3 linked regions of the Schizosaccharomyces pombe genome follow. Changing the gene in region 3 together with the main gene of any one other region gives a genetic interaction. Each region holds a gene or a part of one and is shown on either strand. Other genes may lie near its edges.

Evidence for each region. A genetic interaction does not mean that the proteins touch.
Region 1: mutations in sap114 (region 3) and cbm1 together harm fitness more than expected from each alone (negative genetic interaction), as found in Schizosaccharomyces pombe (one large-scale study listed by BioGRID).
Region 2: mutations in sap114 (region 3) and idp1 together harm fitness more than expected from each alone (negative genetic interaction), as found in Schizosaccharomyces pombe (one large-scale study listed by BioGRID).

Annotation. Positions count from the first base shown.
Region 1 is NC_003424.3:2,934,616-2,939,318, reverse strand, and holds cbm1 (cellulose-binding domain-containing protein), read left to right. Parts: upstream 1-3,065; 5' UTR 3,066-3,215; coding exon 3,216-3,809; 3' UTR 3,810-4,203; downstream 4,204-4,703. Other genes in the region: Cu(2+) amine oxidase Cao1, read right to left, coding at 4,384-4,703.
Region 2 is NC_003424.3:3,228,157-3,233,476, forward strand, and holds idp1 (isocitrate dehydrogenase Idp1), read left to right. Parts: upstream 1-3,223; 5' UTR 3,224-3,379; coding exon 3,380-4,699; 3' UTR 4,700-4,820; downstream 4,821-5,320. Other genes in the region: tda3 (FAD-dependent amino acid oxidase), read left to right, coding at 1-36; cbc1 (nuclear cap-binding complex large subunit), read left to right, coding at 377-627, 677-2,768.
Region 3 is NC_003424.3:1,170,778-1,177,355, forward strand, and holds sap114 (U2 snRNP-associated protein Sap114), read right to left. Parts: upstream 3,672-6,578; 5' UTR 3,379-3,671; coding exon 3,252-3,378; intron 3,203-3,251; coding exon 2,896-3,202; intron 2,833-2,895; coding exon 2,516-2,832; intron 2,431-2,515; coding exon 2,056-2,430; intron 2,013-2,055; coding exon 1,693-2,012; 3' UTR 1,574-1,692; downstream 1-1,573. Other genes in the region: cardiolipin synthase/ hydrolase fusion protein Crd1, read right to left, coding at 1-493, 585-1,079, 1,123-1,179, 1,222-1,349; ept1 (CDP-alcohol phosphatidyltransferase class-I family protein), read left to right, coding at 3,794-3,930, 3,981-5,004; dihydroxyacetone kinase Dak1, read left to right, coding at 6,288-6,578. UniProt on the Schizosaccharomyces pombe protein: Involved in pre-mRNA splicing. May be involved in endoplasmic reticulum-associated protein degradation (ERAD) and required for growth at low and high temperatures.

The DNA of each region.
Region 1 (4,703 bases), 1.8 Mb from region 3:
TGGGTAATGAGGAAGCAGATACATCCATAAACCGAATAGTCTCAATAACATTTTATGAGATATTGTCAACTTTTTGAAGCCACTGTTATTTTTAGTGAAAGAAATTGTGATAGAAACGAGAAACCTTTGATTTGGAAAACTGATTCGCAAATCAATGAAAGATCAGAAATGTCAGCTATCGTATTTTATACAAATTTTGTGCTATAGCTAGTAAACCACTTAATGTCCAATAATTCCATCTTGACCCTTTTTTTTTTTAATCTAGAGCTTGATGCGCAAATATGCAAATTATTGTTCTTGCATCTCCGATGGAGATGCATATTTATTATACTGACTAAGCATCTCAGTTTCATAATTTTAGAGTTAAAAAACGCTTCCTGTAATTTGTTAAGATCATTAAAATTGTATATACAAAACTTAGTGTCTCATCAAATTGCTTTGAATTGAAAACATTGTGGCAGATAATAAAACAAAGATTTATCTTGTGCTTTCAATATTCAAGCGATTCCCCATAGTTGATACCTTACCACCAATTTAAAAAGCGTCGATCCGGAATTGGTGTTTTGTGAAGTATCAAATTTTTTGCCCATCTATTCGGAACGCTAACCGGCGTAGACTAGGTCTACATTGCACGGGGAACAGGCTAAACGGAATAATGAAATTTCAACTGGGCTGAACGGAATCAAAGAATTCATCACATGTTGGTAAAGTAAAAATTTAGGACTATATCAGGTGTTTCTCGGTTATGCTATACGTTTTTTCAATAAACGTTTTGTGATGTTCTAATAACAATTAGCTGCACTTAATCACAGTTTGAAGTCCCAAACTTTGATGCTTAGAAGTAACTGCGCATCCTTAGTTATCCGATGAACTAAAAATGAGCAACCATTGTTAATTTTCGCCTTATCTAGATGATTTAGAAAATTTTAAGGACGCAATATAGTCAAAAAAGAAATCTAAAAATAACCAGAAAGAATTAAGTTCTTAGTATGTGCTAAAATTTCTAGCTTTTGCATTATCGCAATATCATCCTTGTTTCTTCTCTGCGATGAAAATTTTAAGCGAATTTCACGGCCAACTTTCAATGGGTATTGAATCTTCACATTCGACTTGAGATAAAATCAAAGAGTGCTTTCAAATAGATTGCAGGTTTGCCTCTCTCAAATTCAATGTGGTTATTTCTACTCTTGTAAATTGGTAGTTATTGGAATCCAACTAGCTCCTTCGGATGCGCAAAATCTATTATGCTGTTGAATTGAAATACTATTCTAGCTGTATAAAAATCCAAAGTGAATCGCTTTCAAGAGAAAGTGAGGAATCCTTTGTAGAGTAATGAATAAGAAGAAGGAAATTTTACCCTCGGTCGATACAAAATTTCTGATGTGCTAGTATAAGTTATGTATTGTTTTCACATCCTAAAATGTAAACAAGGGTTTCCACCTTTTAAAAATCATTACTAAAAATTAAAAAAATAAAATAAAAATAAATTGATAAATTCGTAACCAAAAAATTAGACAAGCAGAAAGAAGTTGAGTGTTTTTCAACACTGTTCTTCCATATGAAACGTCTTTGATTAGATATATAATTTCAATTCTAATTTACATTGCGAACTTATTTACTCACAGTGAAGTATTTCAATCTCTTATTTATTATGCTCAAAAAAATATTTTTTTCTATTTAGTGAATTTCTTTCGCACTCACTATTTTTTTGCATTTATATGAATTTGGCGATTGTAATAATTAGCAATATCTTTTTCTTTTTCTTTTTTATGCTTTTTAAAAACCAATGCAAGAGTTAGCTGTACTCCTACATGAATGCATCTACCTATGTTGAATTCAATTTGTCTTAAAAGGAAACGTAAAGCATCTCGGAAAACCCAATTACTGCATTGCATCGCTTATAACTGGAAATCTATTTATCATATAATAGAGTGCTTTCCCTTGATAAATATTAACGAAGTAATGTTCTGGTGAACACTATAACTTTTTTATAGCCTAATTCTGAATGTGTTTATAATTTACAATATTCACTTAATGTTAATGGTTTTCATATACTACTTGCATTGTAATTTTTACTATAAAAATTGTTAATTGGTTCATCGGCAGCTATTTTTTGAAAAAATGTCGATTGTGCCAGCCCACTTTTAGTACCGTATGATGCGCTACTTCTGCCGAAGTTTCGATCCTTGGAAAAGACCTAAGAAAAAAATAATAAAATAAATAAAAAAAAAGGCAGAAAACCCAAATAACATGTTCATATATATATATAAGAAAAAATAAATAAAAATAAGAAAAAAATATTAAAGCACAATTCGATCAACGATATATGATAAATGTAATAGATTAGAATAAAAGAAAATACCAATTCTTCACTTTCTTTAACCGCGGCAAAATGAAGGTTAAGGCCGATGTAAAGCTGTTTTGACATTGATGATGACCTAAATATTCTAATTCGTTCAAAAGAACTTTATGCCATACAATTTTGACAAAGTTCTATAACATAACAATTGCAGGAATCATTGCCGCATGCCCCTAACATACTCCCTGTGTTTTCACAAATCAAAATATGTCAGTTGATGATGCTTTGCAAACACAATAAATATGTACCATTTTCCCTGAGAAAGTACCTAGACAATATACTTAGAGGAATGATGTGAATATCCCAACCACCTTTACAGGTAGTATTTTGTAGCGGATTTCGGATGTTAGTCGTAATGGTCAAATGTCTAACCATCTTGTCACTTTTCGTATGATAATTTTTGATAAGATAAAATAGGCAGGTTGTATGATTCGAAAAATCAAATAGTCACGGTCTTAGGGGTACCTGATCTGACGGTTAGACATGAGAGCCCTGGTCTAGAAATGCAAGAGCAGGTTAATATGATCTTATTTGAAAGAATATTGGATCGTTTTATGGGAACGTTAGAAGGTTTTAGTGTCTTTTCATTCGCACACTGGTGGCCCACCATGTGATCACGTCTACATTTCTGCCTTGCAGTATTGCTACGTTTGTGAAAGTCTTACTTCTGTGATGTATAAAAAGTCATGGGCAAGGCGACTCTGTCAGGATCGACTGTTGCTATAAGTCTGTTTTGTCGTGGTATTCAGAAATAGAAACATATCTCTCTGCAACTTTAAAGTAACCCTTGAACTTATTCTTTTCTTAGAAATTTACTCTCTCCGAGTCTATTAGTATTGTGTTTTTCTCGTTTAAAATGCTTACTCAAAGTTTGTTTTTGACAGTATTGACATTAGCTTTGTCTCTGGTCTCCAAAACAAGCGCAAGCCAGTGTTCACCCAGATATGGGACTTGCGGAGGTATTTACTATGATGGCCCCACGTGTTGTGTAGTAGGTAGTTCTTGTATCTATTCAAATCCCTGGTATTCGCAATGTATCCCAGTTGATTATACAGGACCCTGTGCAAAGTTATATCAACAGTGCGGCGGCATCAATTACAATGGCCCAACTTGCTGTGAGCCAGGATCCGAATGTATTTACAATGGTCCATATTATTCTCAATGTATTCCAGTTGATATCGATCCTTCTTCATCTAGCTCTAGTGCTGCTTCTTCCACCACATCGACTACATCCAGCTCCAGCCTTGTGTCGTCTACTACTTTGACTTCATCCAGCCCTAGCGCTGTATCCTCCACTACCTCAATCCCTTCTATTTCTAGCACTATTTCTTCCAGTGTGTCGACAAGCAGTTTCACTAGTCTCTCTAGCAGCGGTTTTTCCACTGTACTATCTAGTACCAATACAACTTCTGCTTTGCCATCATCTGGCTGGAATGTTACCGGCTATTAATTTGACAGCCATAGAATAACTGTAAACGATTCAACATACCAATCGTTTGGAGCTATTTTATTGAATTTTACGATGTGTATTATGTTTCGCGTTTGATGGATATGAATAAATTAACTTTATTTTATTTTATTTTTTTTTTGGCTTTAGGAAAATGGATATTAGAAAAAGAAGACAACTGTAATTACTATTGTCAATATCAATTGAAATTTCAATATTTGTTATTCTCATTGATTTTTAAATTCGGTTGGGAAAGGCATTATCCTTGACTAAGTTCAATGCGGATAGATTATGCTTGCCTTAGTAGAAGATATTAATAAAACGTTTTAAGTATAATCAATTTCGTAAAGATTAAGCACATTCAATACTTCGTCAATAATAAATACTAAGAAGAAAATTTAAGGAATAATGATATATGTATTGTTGGATTTGACAGTTAGCTAGTATTTAATACACTGATTAACCAAAAACTAAACATCACTTCTTATTCCAATAAAAAGCTGATTCATGGCTTTCTCATTATATGTACATCTACGTTCCAAAATGGTTTCGGGTCATTCAATCAATATCTGAATCTCTAAAAGAAGTGATCACCTTTATGTTTTTCGCAAAATTTCTCTCCAAATGCAAATTCAGAAGTGGCATCTGTTAGACTCTTCATCATATCCATCATGTGTAAATTACCATGATGGTGTGCCTGCTTCACCTCAGAGGTAGTAACATTCTTCGAAGGGGGTACGTCAAGAGCTGGGTTGCGAAGGAAGAAATTACGAGGACGTAATAAAAGACGAATGGGTTCTGCAGGCATCAATGGGAAATCTTCAGGAGCAGGGAAGTGAGTAATTCCAAAAGTGTGCCAAACAACGATATCCGTGTTATCAACCGAAGCGTCTGGCT
Region 2 (5,320 bases), 2.1 Mb from region 3:
AACACAGATCCTTTTCACTTAAATCTCGGTGAATGAGGATTTCAAATTATATCCTCTAATTTTTGTTTTAATTGTTTGTCAAAAAAAACGAAGGACTCATTCACTGAAAGGTGAAAATATAGAAGCAGAATGGATGCTTATTCCTTTACCGAAATAGAATATTACAGTGTTGTAAAATTTTCTAATCATATTTATTAAGGTTTTCGTTTTTATCGCATTGGAAAATCGATTTTCTTTTTTTTTGTTTTACAATTTCCATCTCGACTTAGTATACCATTCGTTACCTCTAAGTTGATTGTTACTTGAGAACACTTGCTCGTGTTTTTACAATTCTGCTATACGCCAACAACAGTAAGACACTAACATTCCTCACAAAATGTCTTCTTATCGGGGATCAACTCGACCCAGAAAGAGGACGAGAGAGGGAGAGAATTATGGATTTCGTCCCCATAGAGGAAACTCTCAAGAGCTACTTGCAGCGCGTATAAAAAAGGATATTACCTTTTTGGCGGATCCTCGAGGAAATTCAGTAGCTGCTGATGACATTAATTATGTTGCTATGTCTCTTAGTCGTGAAGCTAATGATCCTGAAACCATTTCAACTATCTTAGATTGCATTCAGACAACGTAAGTGATAATTTATACTGTCCCTTCAGAAAACTAATTTAATCCTTAGTGCATTTATCATTCCAGTCAAAATACCTCATTTGGCTACATTAATTATAAGAGCCTCATTAAGGGTTCCTTTAATCTTAGAAAAAGCAGCTGCGTATTTTTGTTTACAGTATTTTACGAATTTAAACTCCTTTCTTTATTACGAGGCTAAAGTCGATCTACGAATGCTCATTTGCATGTCATTTGCACTTCAACCAGGTACCCTTAAGCCACTATTTTCATTACTGGCTGACGCTATCTCAAAAGAAACCAAACCCAGTGTCTGGGGAGATAATTTCCTGCGCATAATTTTGATAAACCTTCCATATTTCATCGCAGCTAACAACGATCTCGGTAAAAAGGATTTTGCTAATGAGATACTGGATCAATGTGAGATTTACGTTCGTCATAGGAAATCTTCGATAACTCTAAGTAATCCCCTTTCAATACATGACAATCTTTCAGAGGAGGAATTGGACTTACTCTATAAACAACTAATTCTATCTCGGGAAAACGACTTTACTTTTCCTTATATATCTCAACCCTGGAAGTTTTTTGAATCTGATTTCGTTCATATTGTTCCGGTTAGCCCAAGTATTCCTGAATGGACGTTTCAGCCCACTCCTCAGCAAAATGAGCTACCTTCCTTCAAGAGATTTTTTGAGCTTTTTAATAACTTTGAAATTCGCACGACTCCTGACGCTTCCGACGTTGCAGCCAGCATATTTCGTGATATAAGTGTGGATGTTATAAACCATTTGGAATTTAACCGAGTTGAGGCTGCTCAAGTTCTTACAGATTTAGATGTTTATTTTACCTACAAAACTTTTGCTCTTCGTGGTACTCCAGTAAATGAATTACCAAATTTAGATCCATCGGAATCACGTTGGAAAGCAGAAGATATCATAGTTGAAGCTGTTTTGGGTGAGCTTCTTGGTTCACAGAATACTACGTATAAACCTGTCTATTATCATTCGCTTTTGATTGAATGCTGCCGTATCGCTCCTAAAATTTTGGCTCCAACTTTTGGAAGGGTCATTCGGCTAATGTATACCATGTCTTCTGATTTACCTTTACAAACACTTGATCGATTTATTGACTGGTTTTCACATCACCTTAGTAATTTCAACTTTCACTGGAAGTGGAATGAGTGGATTCCTGACGTTGAGCTGGACGATCTTCATCCAAAAAAAGTTTTTATGCGGGAAACTATTACTAGGGAACTTATTTTAAGCTATTACACAAGAATTTCTGACTCACTCCCTGAAGAGTTACGTTGTTTGCTTGGCGAACAACCGTCGGGTCCCAATTTCGTGTACGAAAATGAGACTCATCCGCTATATCAACAGTCAAGTCAAATTATCGAAGCATTGAGATTACATAAACCGTTAGAAGAACTTGACATTATTTTGCAGAGCGAGGAGATTCAAAACTCCGAGACATCTGCTGTCCGATTAGTTATGTCTTGTGCTTATAGCTTGGGTTCGAGATCGTTTTCGCACGCATTGAACGTGTTCGAGAAACATCTTAATACATTGAAACATTTTTCTCGAAAATCATTAGATTCCGAAATAGAGGTTGTTGATGAACTTTTTTCATTTTGGAAATTACAACCGTTCAACGCAGTTATGTGGCTAGATAAAATGCTGAACTACTCTATAATTAGTATTACCTCTATTATTGAGTGGTTGATCAAGCAAGACGTGACTATATGGTCTCGTAGTTATACGTGGTCACTTGTTAACACCACTTTTAATAAATTAGCAGCTAGATTGCGGCGTTCGGTTTCTAACAAAGAAGACTCTTCGCTAATCAATGAAGCGAATGAGGAAAAGGAAATTGTCACGAATTTACTATTGTCAGCTTTGCGCGCCCTTATTTCCGAAAATGCTGAAAATATATGGGTATCTCATTGGCTTAACCTTATGTTAAAATATGTGGAATCAAATTTCCTCTCTGTTAAAAAGGACACGATAGAAGAAGCAAACGAGCCTGTTCAAGAAAATACCAGTGAGGAACAGGAAGACACAAAAATGCAACCCGTCGACGCAGTAGATGAGCAGCCATCAGAAAATAATCAAACAGCAGCTGATGCAACTAATGAGGAAAAATAAAGAAAGTAGTCTATAACAAAAATGAAGAAAGTGTTGTTTTGATATCAAAAAGATTAAACTGAAGAACTCGACTGGTAATCACGACGTTGTCAATCTGCTACAACGTTTGAACGTGGATATAGCTTATATTAAATATTTAATTATAACGTCCCATTTTCATAAGCACTTGTAGGACGCTGCTGCACTTCACAGTTAAGTTACTAGAAACGAAGATTTCAATTTTATAGGTAACAGGGTTATCAGATCTATCAGAGGTAACGGATATCTAAAGATAAGATATTTTACGATCGACTTGTCGGTTCTAGTTTTGCGTAGTGTCATACTATGTGAGCGAATGGATAAGCGAAATGTTCACTCACATCTCCGATATCAGAAGTGACTAAATCTTTTCTCAGTTTAACGAAAGGATTGCTAAAATGTAACAAAATCACTACTGCCATCAGTAACTTACACTTAACCAACCACTTTGTGCTATTGTAAGAAGTAGTGAGGAACAGAGGCAGTTTGGTGGATAGAACTAGGATTTAAGGGACATTTGCACAGCTACTCCTTCTCAACTTAGCTTCGTCGAATATTTCATTTACTTTAAAGGATAAAAAAACTGACACAATATGTTGGAAGTACGTGCTGCCGTAAAGGCACCTTTCAAGTTGGCTGCCGCAGGCCGTGGTTTCATGAATATGCGTATGGCTTCAAGCAAATCTTTTCAAAAGATCACTGTTAAAAACCCAGTCGTTGAAATGGATGGTGATGAGATGACGAGAGTGATTTGGAAGATCATTCGTGAAAAGTTGGTTCTCCCATATATGGACATTAAATTGGATTATTATGACCTTGGAATCGAAGCTCGCGATAAGACAAACGACCAAATTACTGTGGATGCAGCCAAAGCTATCCTCAAAAATGATGTCGGTATCAAATGTGCCACCATTACTCCTGATGAGGCTCGTGTGAAAGAGTATAACCTCAAGAAGATGTGGAAGTCTCCCAATGGTACCATTCGTAACATTTTGAATGGTACAGTATTTCGGGAGCCCATTTTAATCAAAAACATTCCCAAGTATATTCCTGGATGGACGAACCCTATTTGTATCGGGCGTCATGCCTTTGGAGATCAATACAAGTCAACGGACTTGGTAGCTTCAGGCCCCGGTAAGTTGGAACTTTCATTCACCCCTAAAGGTAATCCTTCTGCTAAAGAAACATACAATGTTTACGAGTTCAACGGTAGTGGTGTAGCTATGTCTATGTACAACACTGACGACTCTATTCGTGGATTTGCTCACAGTTCTTTCCAAATGGCTTTGCAAAAGAAAATGCCACTTTATCTTTCCACTAAGAATACAATTTTGAAAAAATATGATGGTAGATTTAAGGATACATTCCAAGAAGTATATGAATCTGATTACAAGCAAAAGTTTGAGGAACTAGGTTTATGGTATCAACATCGTCTAATTGATGACATGGTAGCCCAAGCTATTAAGTCCAATGGTGGTTTTGTTTGGGCATGCAAAAATTACGATGGTGATGTTATGTCGGATGTGGTTGCCCAAGCTTATGGATCCTTAGGCCTAATGACTTCTGTCCTCATTCATCCCAACGGTCGCACTTTTGAGAGTGAGGCTGCTCATGGTACTGTACAGCGTCACTACATGCAATACTTGAAAGGTAAGAAGACTTCAACCAACAGTATTGCCTCTATCTTTGCCTGGACTCGTGGTCTTGCCCATCGTGGTCGTTTAGATGGCAACGAACGTTTAGTTAAGTTTGCCAACGCCCTCGAGCATGCTTGTGTTCGATGCGTTGAGAAGGGTATTATGACAAAGGATCTTTACCTTCTCAGCAAGTCTCCCAATGGTTATGTTGATACATTCGAGTTTTTGGATGCCGTCAAGTCCGAGCTCGATTCGGAATTGGTCAACATTGCCTAATTTTAGTGTTAGACCTGTTGATTAGTGAGTCTTTGAAGTTTAAGTTCTGGATTATTCAATCATGTTTTTACTAGGATACTTTTTGTTAAAACAATTATTTTGAAGTGTGTGCATTTATATTATTTTACAATTAACAGTGGAGTGTAGGAAGTCATTTCTATTAATCATGAAATTTTGTAAATTTTTTATGCATATTCAGACCATGACACTATTATCTAATTTTTTTCAATTTTTTCCCCTTAAACGTAAAGGAAAAAGCTGAATGATTATTCATTTATTCATTGAAATCTTTCGGATTTCTTGCCGTTTATTGACTACAAATGTATCTTGATTCTTTAAAGCTTTGCTTCAAACCCACTTAAACATATTTATCTAGCAATTGATTGAGCCATAACAATTTAGGTAAAGGTCTAATATTAAAATTCAACAACTGAGCTAATAAACTAAACAATTGATGGACGTAAACCCCAACTACATTAAATGTATATCACTATGGAAATGCTTTCTATTATGTTCGAATACAATGAAGTTGTAACAAATATCATTTTAAAAACTGCTACTACTTAATTACTTGTAATTTCTGTTAAACTGATAAATAAAGTAAGCCTTTGTTCTTAGCTC
Region 3 (6,578 bases):
TTGAATAGGCTTACTGTTATTACTTTTTGTCACAGTGTTTAAAACACGAGAAGAGGTGTGAAATCCACGAACCTCGCCCATTGACTTGTTCAATTTGGCAGCAGGAACGTGTTTGGATAGAGCCCAGCGCACACCTTCCCATACATTATCAGAAACGTGCTTCGCAGAATATTTAGGGCTATTGTCTCCTTGGAAGATACCAGTACGTACTAAAATACTAGTCCAACCGTAATTATTCGCACCACGAATATCACTTTCGGGGTTATCACCAACCATGAAAATTTCCTTGGGAGGATTGGTGATTCCTAAAGTTTTATGCTTCTTCATTAAAATGTTTTTAGCATAATCATAAGTCAGCTTATGAGGTTTTCCATATTTCGTATTTCTTAAGTCCTTTCCAGTAAGTTCTTTAAAAACACTTTCACAGCAAATTGCAAAAGCTCCTTGACCTAAGCGGGGAAGAGGATACTCATTAGGCCAAATTAAATCCGCACTATAAAAGCTGTTAGCATTCACTCATAGTATTCGAGTACAGCTTGCAAAAATATTTTTACACAAAAGATACTTTCCAAGAAATAACTTACTTAGAAAAGTAAATATCGGGACCTTCATTTGCTGTCTTCGAAACTGTTCCTAAAACACCATTCTTCGACTGGCCCAATTCCATCACCAATTGAAGATCCAAACCAAGTCGGACAGGATCGACATAAGTGAAAACTGCTTCAATGGGTCTAGTAACGTCAAAGTCTTTTGCATCTTTAATATCTTCTTCGTTAAAAGATGTGAAAGGCCAAAATGGAGTTCCTAACTTTGCGATGACATCGAGTTCATTGATAACACTTTTAAACCCATACTTTTCAGCAGTTTCACGGACGCTGTTGTCTTTTCCTCCAAGAACCAAGACGTGCTTATACTTATCCGCAAGAGCGCGAAAGGGGGTATGTGATTGACAAAAATCATCCTCTGTTAAACTTACGCTCAATGTCTTGGAAAGACGCTGAGCTCTAACACTCTCATGCATACCACCTCCATTCGTTAACAGAATAAAAGGTATATTATTTTTTTGCAAAAATTTCAAACTTACAAGTTAGTTTGAAAATGGTAGTTCATAGTTAAGCTTACGTCTTCGTTCCTTCTTTCAAACCTCTTCCTCCTCTAATTAAAACTCCATCAATACTGCTTTGGTTAGTTTCAAAAATCGATCATTAATTACTGTATTACTCAAATGCGAAACAAACATCTGCAATAGGGCTTTTAGTAGACGATTCGGTCGTAAACTTTCGAAACGTTGAACGCCCTAACTGCCTGGCAGCCAAATGCCAAGATCTATAATTGATAGTATGTAGCATTTATTAAAGCCGATAAATGAAGAATCAACAATGTAAGAAGTAAAAAATTAAGAGGTTTGTGCGGTTACGTGGTATGACAACTTAAGGATGACGGTGGGCGGGTATGAAAACCAGACCCGCATTTCCTAAGTTAAAATCCAGCTTTGTTTAGTGTATTGGACTTTTTATAATAAAGAATATTTGTATTCTCAATTAGTTGGAGAAAGTCTACAACACCTGGTTTATTTACATCTTATTTATTTCACGAGTTGTAGAAGCAAATTAACTAATAGATTTCGGCGTCCTACGAAGCTTAAATAAAATAAAGTAAAAATTAACAAAATTAAAAAAAGTTCTATGAAATCTACCGGCGTTTATTTGTGGGAGTTGCTCCCCAAGCGCTCTGAGTAGCAGCACGTTTTCTTCGTTCGATTTCCTCTTGAGAGATTTCTACCCCGTTTTGGACGTCAAACAAATCAGTCCGTTGACTAACCAATCTTTTCATATTTGCAGCAACGTTCACGTTCTCTAAATTTAAAGTTGATTTCCTAGATTCTTCAACTTTGCGCTGTTCCTGCCAGCGAGGGTCAAGTAATTTTAGACGCATATGCTCTTCTAGTTCTGTAGCGGGAACCAATTCACCTGAGAAAGGCGATATCTCCATCGGAACTTTGGGCTGGAAAGCTAAACAGGGTCAGTAAAGTTACAATAAGGAATATAAACTTACCCTTTGGTACTGGCTTTTGTACCTTCGGCTGAGTAGTGGTAGACAAAACGGGAGAAGCTTGTGCGGCAGGAGAAACTGAAGTAGTTGAAGAAATACCTCCTTTTTCTGGAGAAGCAAGTGATGGAGGAAGAGAAACACCAAATTCTTGTTTTTTAGGCGCACTTATGGGCTCCCAAGGCTCCGCTGTAGGAGGAGCTTCCTCAATAGTGTAATTTTGGTCAGGCATGGTAAACATGGCAGACTTTTGTTCTAAAGTAGCAGTTTGTAAATCCGCTAAATTCGTAGGTTTAGCTAATTTTGCATGTTCATCGGACTTTGTGAATTGAATCACTTCAACAACGACAAAATCGTTCCAATCAATTTGTGCATATTCCACTAAGACAAGTTAGTTCCAATTCAAATGGTAAATGAAGAATATTGGACTTCCTGAACCAGTTTTTGCATCTCAATATACACTTACACTTCTCTTTTTCGGCTTCTTCCTTTTGTTTTTTCTTTTGGCTCTCCATATGCGATTGCCACCTTACACGCGGCTGAATTTTAGAAAGTAAGCTATAAGGGTCTCTCACATTTTCACGAAGCTCCTGTTCTGGCGAAGAAATGGGCTCTCTAATTAGAGAAGTATATTGTTGAACTATACGCATAAAGTAAGGGTACAATGCATTATTTGGCTTTAAAAAATCAAATTGAGTGTTATTCCACTCTTTTTGAGAAAGACTCACTAAGAAAGAAGAACCACGAACTGCCGCATATCGCGCAGTTAAACGGAGCACGTCTCTAGATTCACGGTTAATTAGCAACTTCAAAGAAGAAGGAAATAATAGTTGAGATGATACTTACAAATCTAGTGATGAAATAGAAGGAAGTGGTTCTGAAAACAAGTACGGTGAGGGAGCAGGAATAGTTGCCTCTATAGGTTTTTGAATGGGACGAGCCAAAGTGGATGTTTTTTGGGTTGACAAGCCTGTGGCATGACTCTTCAATTTTCCCTCCCTCGCTTCAGTTAATTTGTGCTGATAATATGGGTGGTAGGGGTCATTAGCATGCAAGAAAGCAAACTTAGTATTTGCCTGTTCATTCTGGCGAATTTTTTCTTCAAAAGCTGGGCCATTTCTGGCAACGTAACTAGCAGATTTATCAATTATTTCTAAGCTACGTTAGCAGGCGCGTCTATTGTACTAATTACTATGACTCACCTCGAATTGCTGGAGGAGGTAAAATTACCCCTGCAGGGACCGATGAACTTTGATCAGTGATGCTTTTTTGGTGTTCTGTTTCATTATTTGTCGTATTTCTGTCTTGGAATTCCATTAAAGAACTCATATGTGAGACTTATGCAGAAAAAGGTAGTGGTGGAAGGACACTTGTCGCACAAGGCAGATGAAGCGATGGACAAGCGAAAAGAAAGGACTATTGAAATTCAATAGAAGTTTATAAAAGTTTAGGGCGACCTTGCTGCTCTAAACAGTTGTTGCCTAGGGCATCCGTAATCCACTGCGGATGGACAAATAACATCAAAACGGTTGATAGCAACAATTATCCTTACAATTTAGAATTTAAAAGATAGTTATAGTGCAAGTTTTTTTGCAAGCTACATTATACATTTATTTATCGGTAGAAGGTTTATCTGCATTCGTTGCTTTGCCTTTATTTCTACACACTAAGACGCGTAACATGTTTACCCTCTACCAGTACTTTATCGGAGAATAAGGAAAGGATATCCAGGTAGTTTCTCAAGATGCAGTTAAACCGGAAGCAGTTAAAGAATCTTCATAACTATAAATATAGTGCGATTGATAACTCACTTCTTTCAAAATATATTTTGAAGCCGTACTGGTGGAATCAACTTTTGAAGGTGATTCCCATGTCTATGGCGTATGATCTACACCCGTTTGCTTGCTTATTCTTACTAACTCTTTACTTAGACCTAATTTGATTACTTTGATCGGGCTTGGATTCGTTGTTATCAATATCCTTACTATGCTTGTGTACAAGTATCATTATGAGATGGATGCTTTCCCATCATGGGTGTATGCTTCTTGGGCGATTGGCCTTTTTCTTTACCAAAGTTTTGACGCTATTGATGGCTCGCAAGCGCGTCGTACTGGCACATCATCTCCATTAGGTCAATTATTTGACCATGGAGTAGACGCCATCAATACGAGCTTTGAAGTTTTACTGACGATTGAACTGCTGCAACTAGATATGTTTAGCTCAATCCTTACTCAATTTGCCAGCTTATTATACTTTTACATCTCTACTTGGGAAGAATACCATACGGGTACTTTGTACCTTTCATACTTCTCGGGTCCTGTCGAAGGAATTGTAATGGTTATTGGACTATTTGCCCTTACAGCTATTAAGGGTGATTCTTTCTGGCTCAAGCTACATCCCACTCCCGAGTCATGGGGATTTGTACGTTCCTTTCTGCCATACTACACATATGGATCATGCTTGTACAACTTTATGGCATTTGCCCTGCTATTGAATGTCTTACAAAGTTTACGAAATGCTCTTCAAGCCGTCCAAAAGAACAACGGAAGTGTGATTAAAGCATTGAGTGGTATCCTTCCCTATTTCCTCCAATGGATGGCTGTCTTTTCACTCTATGCCAAGTATCCTGCTTTCTTTGAACATCATTTCCTCACTATTTTTTGCTTGAACGCTTTTATCTTTGCTTATTCGGTTGGAGTGGTAATTGTTTCTCACATTACCGAATCTCCCTTCCCATACTGGAATGTGCTTATTCTTCCATTCTTGGTGGATGCCGTGGACGCCTATACTTTTGGCGTATTAAAAAACGTTCAGACGGAATACTTTTTTTGCTACGTTGGAATTTGCATTGGTGTTTACGGCAACTTTGTTGCACATGTCATTGCCATGATTACGGAAGAGTACGGCATTAAATGTTTGACTATTCCATCCAAACCAGAGTCCAAGAAGAATTGAACTAGATGATGATGGTTTGGACAGAATAGAGATGAGAACAAAAGGGTCCAGAGAGATTTTGTCATTGATAACCTTTCGGTCGATCTTTTGTTCTGCAATGTATCTAACGGATCAGAAGTATCAAAATGATCCATTTCCTAGTAGACAGGTTTTTTTCGGTTGTGTGTTTTCTGCCAACAATATGTTACTTTTGTTTGTTTTCCTGCTGTAGTAATAAAAGTTGGTTTTTTTACCAGAACATAATAATGAACAAGTATTTCACTTGCGACTTCGTTCACTAAATGATCCAGCCTTTCGTATCCTTTTAACTAACTGTATATACTGATGAACAAATGGTCCATTTGTCTTCTACACTGCAAACTTGCTTTTCACCGTGGAATACCGGGGCTGCACTAACTAAGATGACTGGTTCCACATGTGCAGACCGGAGCACTTTTCGACAACCTTCTTTTAATTAAGGTTCTTATGGCAGTTCGTAACGATTTAACAATTTCAATAAATAGCCATCGTCCTGTCCCATTGCTTCTTTGGGCATTGGTAGAGTTTGCCCTTTTAAGGCAATCTTTTGCTACATAAAGGTGACTCAAGTTTACGCTGCGATTTTACTACTTTTCTAGCATATGATCTACAAAAGGTCAGCGAAATTTTTCTTTGACTAGGAAAATGGATTGAGGTCATCTTCGGCAAGGCAAGCTGATATTTAATTTAATTGTTCATATCGGCAACATTTCGTAATTAGTTGAAGGGTATGAAAAACGGTTCTACGGTTATCTAGATGTGTTTATTCACTGTTTCAGCATAATATCACTTCCGTTACGTGCGGGGCACTTCGTCATGCAAATTGGTGGTTATATAGTATATATAGAGAGACAAGGCCAGCATTATTAAATCGTCTTCAAGCTCCCTTTTTCCGCTACACTCATAACTTTTACGAAATAGCGAAACGAAAACGAGACATAACGTAACGAAACGAAACGTTTACTAGTATATTCTTGGTTTATTTATTTTGTATTTAAACCAGTTGAAGCATAGTAGCGTATAAAGTGTTAATTTTTTCGCATTGAAGGGAATTTTGATATTAATATTTTGAGATTTTAGAGACACATAGATTTATTTCTTTAATCCTTTACTCACACTTGCACTTCCCCACCACCTAAAACAAGTCATTTTATATTCTTAGATCATAAATTTCGGGAATATTTGATTTAACTATCCAACTTATATTTAATTTTATTTTAAGGCTTTATTCTCTTTTTTTTACCTTTTTCTTATTATTCTAAAATATGGATAAGCACTTTATCAACGATCCTGAAGTCCTCGTCCTTGATGGCCTTAAATCCTTGGCCGACATGAACAAAACTTTAACTGTTCATGAAGAGGGAAAATTCATCTATTTCCATGACTACAACAAAAAGAATGTCAGTGTCATTTCCGGCGGTGGTGCTGGTCATGAACCCACTCATTCTTCGTTCGTGGGCAAGGGTATGCTTACTGCCGCCGTCTCAGGCTCCATTTTTGCTTCTCCTTCGTCAAAGCAAATTTATACCGGTATTAAGCAAGTCGAATCTGAGGCT